Linked DNA regions of Oryctolagus cuniculus. The main gene of each other region encodes a partner of the protein of the gene in region 2 in a complex. Links are inferred from orthologs where the notes say so. Each region holds a gene or a part of one and is shown on either strand. Other genes may lie near its edges.

Region 1 (4,525 bases), on a different chromosome or scaffold from region 2:
AGGGCCACGGGAGCTGGAAACAACGCACGGAGGCTGTGGAAGACCCCGGCCCGTGCGCACCTGCGCCCCCTGCACTGGCGCCCGCGGTCCGAGGCGAGGTCCCGCGGGGGCGCGGCGGCGGCCCGGGACCCTCTTACCTCGGCCGGAGTCCGCGCAGCAGGCGAGCAGTAGCGGCAGCAGCAGCGAGAGCGGGGCCGGCCCGGGGCGCTGGCGCGCGGCTCTCGGCATCTCGGCACCTGCGGGCTGCTGGGGACCCGGGACCCTGCGCGGCGCGCACCCTGCAGCAGGCGCCTCCGCCGCCCAACTTTTAAATCTGGCGCACACGTGGGCGGCGGCGGCGGGCGGTCCCCGCGCGCGTCAGCCCTCGGCCGCCCCCGGCCAGGGCCTGTGACTCAGGGCGCCCCTGATTTTCTGGGATGGGCAAGCCGGGCAGGAAAAGCGTACGCCGCTGTCTCCGCTTTTCAAAGATCCCAGCGCGCGCCTGGGGTGCGGGTTTTCACCCTGGACGTGGGGATGCTCTCGTGGCTCCTGCGTCTGCTGGGGGCGCCCCTTCTTTCTCGCGCCCGCTTAGCCGTGCCGGCCCCATGCGCTCCCGAGTCCAAGCTCCTAGCGTTGCTGGTTCAAGGGCGCCGTCCGCGCTGCTGACCATGCCCCAAGTGCCCACAAAGCCGGAGACCCGTCAGCGAGACGCCTGGTCCGCGGATGCGGGTGACCCCGCACCAGTCTCGCACGGCTCTGGGCGGGCTCCGGCTCTCCGGTAACCCTTACTCTCTGCATCTGTGCTGCCTTCGCCCTCGGGTTTCCGGCGGGACCTGGCCTCGCTGTCCCTGCCCCCAGTCCTTTGCTTCCTAGCTGGACACTCCAGGGCTGCAGCCTCTCCCAGGACCCCCGCTGACACCGTTCCGATGCCCTGCTCCGGGAAGAGGGGCGAGGGCTCTTCTCTGAGCTCCCGGTGACAGGCAGGGAAGGCGGAGGAAAGCGCAGGTCGGACGCGCGTTCCCAGTTCGGGAGGGGTGTTGCTGCGCCAGGCCCGGGGGTGTCCGAGGGAGCGAGCCGCAGGCCCTGCTCCTGCGGGGGACGCTTCGCGCTGAGTGCAGCGTTGAAGGAGTCCCGGCTTCCCCCGCACAGCCCGGGACAGGCAGGAGCCACGGCTGGGGACTGGGAGCCATAGCACTTCCGTAGAGGACCCCAGCTACTAGACGGTAAACTGGAACAGTGCTGTCTCAGAAACACCGCGATCCGGCAGAATACAGTAGCTACGGGATGCTGTGCAGAAGCCCAGGTCACAGGGTCCAGGTTCAAGGGCGGGCGAGCACTAGCTTGACTGCTGGCATTCTGATTTATTCACACAGTGGGGTGGGGAGGTAGCGCCAAGGATGTCAGTGAGGTGAGGATGCAGGCAGGTGGGCCTGCCCTGGCTCCCACTCCCCGTGCGTGTCTCTGGTGTCTGACAGCACCGGCTTGGAGTGGGCAGAAGCCACAACTCAGGGTCTCACGTTTGTTCCGCATGAGCCAGGCGAGGTCTCCTGGAGCTGTGGGCCGGTGTCTGCCTGTATGAACTGCCTGGTGTGCACTCGGAGGAGCTCGCTAAGAGAGGCCGATCCAGTTCAGTTCTGATTGGCTTTCCGAAGAGTCCCACCAAGTCCCCACGGCTGCACATTCGCCAGTCGAGGGTGGGTTTCCCGTGCAGCTGCGAGTTCACTGGCGAGATTGTCCCTCCACGACTGCGCCAGCCACTGCGGTCTCCTCTTCGGGGCGATGTCCCTGTATCTCTCTGGCCTATTTCCCCCCATGGTGTCCTCAGCTTTCTTCCTCACTGATTATAGCAATGCTTTAGGTCTTCGGAAACTGTTGTTGGTTACAAAGACAGCAAATGTTTCCTGCCCACTGCTGGCTTCTCTCTTTAACACGGATTATTGTTATTGTTCTTTTAAAGATTTACTTATTTATTTGAAAGGCAGACAGGGAGAGGGAGAGACAGAGATCTTCCGTTCTCCAAAATGGTCCCAACACCTGGAGCTGGGTCTGGTCTAAGTCAGAAGCATGAAACTCCATCCGGGTTTCCCAGCTAGGTGGCAGGTGCCCAAGCACTTGGGCCTTGCCCTGCTGCTTTCCCAGACACACTAACAGGAAGCTGGATCTGCAGCAGAGCAGCTGGGACTTGGACCAGCACTCCGATATGGGCTGCTGGCGTCACCAGTGGCAGCTTAGCTCACTGCACGACGCCAGCCCCTGGCTTGTTATTTTTAAGGGAATGTTTAAGAAAGGACGTGCACGTCACGCATCCTGTGGCTTAGTCCACGCATTCTCAAAGCAGCTAATCCCAGTCTCGTCCTAATCCCAGGAGCCTTGGTCACCGAATTCCAGGCTGTTCTCATTCGCTGAGAGTGAGCTCCTCCCTCTGTCCCTGCCACCAGCTGCAGCGTGGCACCGACAGTGTCTGAAAGTCTGGTTCTTGGTAAGACCTGGACGAATGGACGTTCCATCAGGTCATGGGCCTGGGATCCCAGTCTGGGCGAGCTCTGTGCAGTGATGTTGGGGAAGCTGTCACAGGAGGCACTGAGGCAGAGAGCAGAGCATCAGGAGACTGGAGAGAGAGCAGAGAGGTCTAACCAGTCAGGATGTCCAGCTGGCAGGAAGGTAACAGATGAAGTCTGTTACCAATAAAGTAATAGACAAAGACTCGGATTCAGGAACTGAGCATAGAGGCAAGATCCGGAAGGTTTGTGGGTTCTGGGCAAGATAGCCGTGTGGTTCTCCAGATACTAGTTGAGCGTCTATCTACTATGCTCCATCCTAGCAGCGTGGGCGGCAAGCGATCACTGAGTCAGGTAAAGTCGTGACTTGGTGGAGTTGGCAGATTTTCAAGAAGAGTCAGATTGGGGGCCAGCACTGTGGCGCAGTGGGTTAAAGCTCTGGCCTGAAAGCGCCGGCATCCCATGTGGGCACCGGTTCTAGTCCCGGCTGCTCCTCTTCTGCTCTCGCTCTCTGCTATGGCCCAGGAAAGCAGTGGAGGATGGCCCAAGTGCTTGGGCCCCTGCACCCACGTTGGGGAACCGGAGGGGGCTCCTGGCTCCTGGCTTTGGATCGGCGCAGTTCTGGCTGTTGCGGCCATCTTGGGGGTGAACCAGGGGATGGAAGACCTCTCTCTCTGTCTCTACCTCTCTCTGTAACTCTGTCTTTCAAATAAATAAATCTTTTTTTTTTAAAAGAAGAGTCAGATAACAAATAAATAAATAAATAAAAATAGCAATTTCAGGTAACAGTAACTACTACAAAGAAAAAACCAGGATAATGAAAGAATAAAAGGTGACTAGGAATTGGGGGAAAAGACTCTTGAGCCAGGATCACCTCTCCGAGGGAGTGATATGGGAGGCCTGAAAGGTAGGGAACCAGGCGCAAGAGTAGAAGTGAAAAAAAGAACCCAGGCAGAGGCTCCCTCCTGTGCAAAGGCCCTGAGGCAGAAGCATGCCTGGGAAGTCCAAGGAGCAGAAGGAAGCCAGTGCAGTTGGCACTCAGTGAGGGGAGAAGTGGCAGGGAGGGCCCTGACCATGGGAAGGTCCAGGAAGCCGTGATAAGCTCACGTCTTTTTCTGATTAGGGGAATCGTTTGGAGGATCTGAAGCAGAAGAGGAGGATGATGGGATTGACATCTGAAAAGGTCCCTGCAGCTTCAGTGGACAGCTGGCTCTGGGGACCCAGCAGAAGCAGGACACCAGGAGAGATGCCACTGCAGAAGTCCCCTGGAGCCCCAGGAAGAAGCAGGGGCACTCGCCACTGCAGGGAGGAAGTGGAAAACATGATCCCGCGGGAAAGATCCAGAATCGCTCGGGCTGCATACTGTCTAATTCCGTCTGTTCCCGATGTCCCGGGTAGGGCATGCCAGAGACGCCGAACACAGCTGAGTGGCTTGCAGGGTTGGGGAGAGTGACTGTGCGTGGGTGGGTCTCCTCTGGGAGATGTTGAAATGCACGGTAATCAGGCAGTAGCGATGTTGCACAGACTTGTTCATAAACCAGTCACCACTGAATGCTGCACTCTGAAAGGACAGATTTTATGGTATGTGAATTGTAGCACGACTTTAAAAGAAAAAGAAAGCAATCCAGGCCAGCTGTGACGGAGACGTGTTGGATGGGTTGGTGGCAGCCTTGGCAACTCAGCACAGGAAAATGCATCAGTCTTTGGCCAAACATCGCCATATACTCCCTGGATTTTTTTTTTTTTTTTAACAGGTAGCGTTATAGACAGTGAGAGAGAAAGACAGAGAGAAAGGTCTTCCTTCCATTGGTTCACCCCCCATATGGCCACCACGGCTGGCACTGCACCGATCTGAAGCCAGGAGCCAGGTGTTTCTTCTTGGTCTCCCATCTGGGTGCAGGGGCCCAAGCACCTGGGCCATCTCCAATGCCCTCCCAGGCCACAGCAGAGAGCTGGACTAGAAGAGGAGCAACCGGGACTAGAACCCGGCACCCACATGGGATGCCGGCCCCGCAGGTGGAGGATTAACCAAGTGAGCCATGGCACCG
Region 2 (4,441 bases):
ATTACTGTTTTGTGTTCACCAGACTTTCCTGGTTTTCCATCTTCTGTGCACTTCCTGCACGTGCCAAAGCTGAGTGGATGCTTACAAGTAACTTGATCAATGAGCTCTGAGCAAAAGTGATACATGTTACTTACTGTGGGGCTAGAGCCTATAATTACCGACTTGAAACCTTCCACAGCTCCCCTTCCCCCTACTACAATGCTCATGAAAGTTCTAGAAGTGCTACTCATTAGCCATAGGTCACTAAGTGAGTATAGTCTGGAATAGACACTCCAGATATGATAAATCTGCAGTGTAGAAAATATATTTTTATCCTTTTAAGCCACTGAGATATGCCAATTACTCCTTATAGCCACATTAGCTATCTCATCTGGACCAACAGATGATTCTTGGACATCTTTAGTTTCATCATATAATTTATAAATTAAGTAGAATTAACATTCAGCAAGCATAACTTGAGGATATATAATATCCTGTAAGAGTTTACATGACCCTTAATACACTTAAATGTATGCATTCAAATCTCCTGATCCTTATTAAGTTTCAGTTATACTCCACATTTCTGAAATACATCAAGACTGTTTCTGCCTCAGGGCATTTGAACTTCCTGTTTCTTTTGCTGGGAATATACTTCCTTCATTTTTTTACATCTGAGTTTTCATCATCCAGACCTCAACCCAAAGGTACCTGCTGAGATAAAACTTTGACTATCCTTTGTAAATAATCACATATCAACTATCTGAAATTTTATCAATTCATCAGTTTGGTAGCATATTTTTAGAAATTCCCACTGTAAACAGATAAAACTCACAAGGGCTGAGAAATTTTTTTGTTTGCTCACTGATGTATCCACAAAGCCTAAAACATTGGCACAAAATGAATCCTCGAGAAGTATGTGTTAAACACAACAGAATGAATGATACAGATAAGGAAATGAGACTCTGAGAATTTGAGCAGCTTTCACAAATTTCTTTGTATATGCCTGAATCTGAAACTCACTGGTTTTTGATGCTGCCTACAGAGATTGAAATGTCAGATAGCAGGCAGGGCTGGCTGACATGTTAAGCGTCCTTTCGGCTTTGGAGTCCATTGTTGATGCAATCAGAACCCAAAAGTCGAATTGATCGTGCTTTTATCAGACAGCCTTGAATTTCCAGTGGAACAAGGTAATCTGAGAAAGTCCATTGATCTTCCGTTTTTGCTAAGCGACAAAGATCAATGGAGATTTGTAATCATCTATCCATGACCCTGCAAGTTCAATTCTTCCTTTCGCCCTGTTTGCAAAGTTGTGGGAGTGCCCACACTTGGACAATGTCACCGCCACACTCTGCTGTTTCCCCAGAGGTTGTCAATGCAGAGAAAGGCCTCCCCCTCCTTTCCTGCTCCTTGTGCACAAAGCCAGCACACCCCACTCAGCGTCCTCTCCCTGAGCAGCCTGCCACACACTCATTGGCCTGCGCCTGCCGAGGGGAGGGGCTTCTGTCTCAGGGGCTCTTCCACCGGCATCCGCGGTCTGAGCAGCCCAACCTAGAGGCTGAAGCGCTCACTCTCCCCCAGCCCTCTTCACGGAGCCTCTGCTTTGCCCAGCTCTCTCTTTTTCTGGCTCAGCTTGGGACAGCGCTTCATAGCAGGGGACACTTGGGTCTTAAACTGTGTTGTCAGTGATGGAAAGACTTGAGAATGCTACCTGGAGGCGCCAGCAGGACCTGGAAGATGCACTCAAGAAATACCTGAACAGCACGGAGGACTACCTGGCCTACCTGTGCGGGCCTCGGCGAAGCCACCTCTTCCTCCCCATGTCTGTGGTGTACGCGCTGATTTTTGTGGTGGGGGTGGTGGGCAATGTCCTGGTGTGCCTGGTGATTCTGCGGCACCAGAGCATGAAAACACCCACCAACTACTACCTCTTCAGCCTGGCCGTCTCCGATCTCCTGGTCCTGCTCCTCGGCATGCCCTTGGAAGTCTATGAGATGTGGCGCAACTACCCCTTCCTGTTCGGGCCGCTCGGTTGCTACTTCAAGACGGCACTCTTTGAGACTGTGTGCTTTGCCTCCATCCTCAGCATCACCACGGTCAGCGTGGAGCGCTACGTGGCCATCCTCCACCCACTCCGGGCCAAGCTGGAGAGCACCAGACGGCGGGCTCTCAGAATCGTGGCCGTGGTCTGGGGCTTCTCTGTCCTTTTCTCTCTGCCCAATACCAGCATCCACGGCATCAAGCTCCACTACTTCCCCAATGGCTCCTTGGTCCCCGGCTCTGCCACCTGTGAGATCATCACGCCCATGTGGATCTACAACTTCATCATCCAGGTCACTTCCTTCCTCTTCTACGTCCTCCCCATGACTGTCATCAGTGTGCTCTACTATCTCATGGGGCTCAGAGTGAGTATCCCGGCTGCTGGCTAGAGCCAGCATGCAGCCTGTTCCACTGATCCAAAGAGAATCATTTAGAACCAGGCAATCTTAGAACTAGAAATTTATCATAGAGACAAGCAGGATGAGCTCAGAGGGGGAAACAAAGCTGAAAGCTTTTTCCTCAAATGAGACAAGCAGGAATTACAACCACCTGTCACTTTCCATAGCTCACCTTTGATTCCTCTCCTCTTTGCTTGTGGCTCTCATAGTTAAGTGTTTCTGAGAATCACTTGGAAAACTTGCTAAGGATACTATTATGCACACTCTACACCCTTAGAAAAAAATTGGACTCATCTGGTCTGAGCTGTAGCCTCTTTGAAACAAGCACATCAGGCAAACTGGGGTTAGGTGGCCACACCTTGGGAAGCCCTTCTATACCCTACTGTCCTCCCTTATCTCTGTCAACTGCACCAATTGGTCTCAGGACAGCATAATCTTTCCCCATCTATACAATTGTGAAGTCAGGTCCCTCCTTGTGGTTGCTTTGACCCTTTGGTTAAAATATCAGATTAAAATAAAAACAAAAGAATATGAATTTCCTGAATGACATCAATTTGTTCCCCTGTACAGCAGGTAGAAACTGAGGGATGGGGAGGTGAATGGAGCTCTTGAAAGAGAGTAAAAGAAAATGTCAATAGAGATATTTGGGATTAAAACAAAACTATCACTCAGTTTTCAACTTAAATTGCAGGTTCCTTCCAGTACTCTCCATGATAAACTGATTTCTTTTTATTTTCTATTTTCTGAGTGTCAATTAGCTGAGAAAATATTTTGATAAGGGCAGATGTCTATATAGTTCTTCTCCTAGAATATTCTGTACTCAAATTCATAGAAATGGAAGTCTTGACTATGACAACCCACTTAAGGAGATGGCTCATGTCATAAAGTTACAAGGATGTTTAGACTCCCAAGTCCACGGGTGATATATGAAAAGCCACATAATTCTTCTGCAATGAGTTTTCCCATTTATAAAATGAAAAGGTCATAGCAGATTATCTCTACGTCTCCTTCTGGCTCCAACAATCTGTGATTCCTCAAAAAAGGGAGAAGTACTGTGAGCAGGAGCAACAGGAGTTGTAAATGGAAGAACAGAGCAGACAAACTCACAGCACACACTTCAAGATGGTTCTGGTACCATACATGACGTGACAACTAGCACACTCCCACATCAGTTCACCTCTGAGAAAGGTAATTGTCAGAAGCAGTGCCACAGAAGCAGATATTCTGAATACCTGTTGTCTCTAACAGGAATGGCAAGGTCTAAGGAAAAATAATAGATTCTAAGTGACACAGACACCTGGGCACAAGGATAAATTGAATCAGGCAGACTCGTGCCAGTCTCCTTCTGAAGGGCTTTGTCCCTGTATTCCCAGAAACATATGTCACCCCAGGCTAGTGTGTAGCCATGTCTTTAAAAGCCTCATGATTCTCACTGAGGGGGAAAACTACTTCACAACTCCAAGTATCCTAAATCCTTGGAGAAATCCCCGCCCAGAATTTGTCAATTCTACCCTGTCTAACATCTATGAGTCACTCATCTTTGGTCAGTTAGGGAGTAATTTTCAACTCTGAATAGAAATCACATTCTTCCCCTACAAACCGCAATAACTCCAAGTGTCACTGTATTTTGTTTTCAGGAACCCACAGCTAACTTATATGAGGAGCTAAGCGACAGCCAAGACAATAAGCAGCTTAGAAACCAGTCAAGTTTCCTTTATGTGTGCAATACACCTTACAACACTCTGCTCTAGGAAGACTGAGGTGCTATCCAAGCTACCAGAGGGTATCAGGAAAGGAGCTATGTGCCGAGAAAGTCACTCCTAAAATAACTTAACAATCTATAGACTGGACGTCAGCAGAAACAGGTTGTATCTGTAGGCTTCACTTCAGAGCCTCCACATTTTGCCTGAAATATTTCTATTGTTCACCACAACAATTCCTTTAGTGTCTCTACCCCTTTTACTTGTCCTTTAAGTCTTATTTCAATTGCACTTCCTCAGGGAATCTCTCCCAGGTTCCCTGACTAT

Evidence for each region.
Region 1: the proteins of NMUR2 (region 2) and NMU are in contact, whole or in part, in a cryo-EM structure (PDB 7XK8), measured with the Homo sapiens proteins. The link is inferred for Oryctolagus cuniculus from reciprocal best matches to the Homo sapiens genes NMUR2 and NMU. Residues at the interface, in NP_064552.3 of Homo sapiens: Ser42, His43, Gly98, Glu102, Glu105, Met106, Trp107, Arg108, Asn109, Tyr110, Pro111, Thr123, Phe126, Glu127, Asn181, His185, Pro199, Ser201, Thr203, Cys204, Val206, Tyr213, Phe284, Arg288, Phe291, Glu295, Trp297, Ser298, Glu299, Ala302; in NP_006672.1 of Homo sapiens: Glu146, Phe152, Ala153, Ser154, Gln155, Gly158, Tyr159, Phe160, Leu161, Phe162, Arg163, Pro164, Arg165, Asn166.

Annotation. Positions count from the first base shown.
Region 1 is NC_091439.1:108,851,907-108,856,431, reverse strand, and holds the start of NMU (neuromedin-U-25), read right to left. Parts: upstream 2,972-4,525; 5' UTR 229-2,971; coding exon 138-228; intron 1-137.
Region 2 is NC_091437.1:39,387,957-39,392,397, reverse strand, and holds the start of NMUR2 (neuromedin-U receptor 2), read left to right. Parts: upstream 1-1,377; 5' UTR 1,378-1,664; coding exon 1,665-2,381; intron 2,382-4,441. UniProt on the Homo sapiens protein: Receptor for the neuromedin-U and neuromedin-S neuropeptides.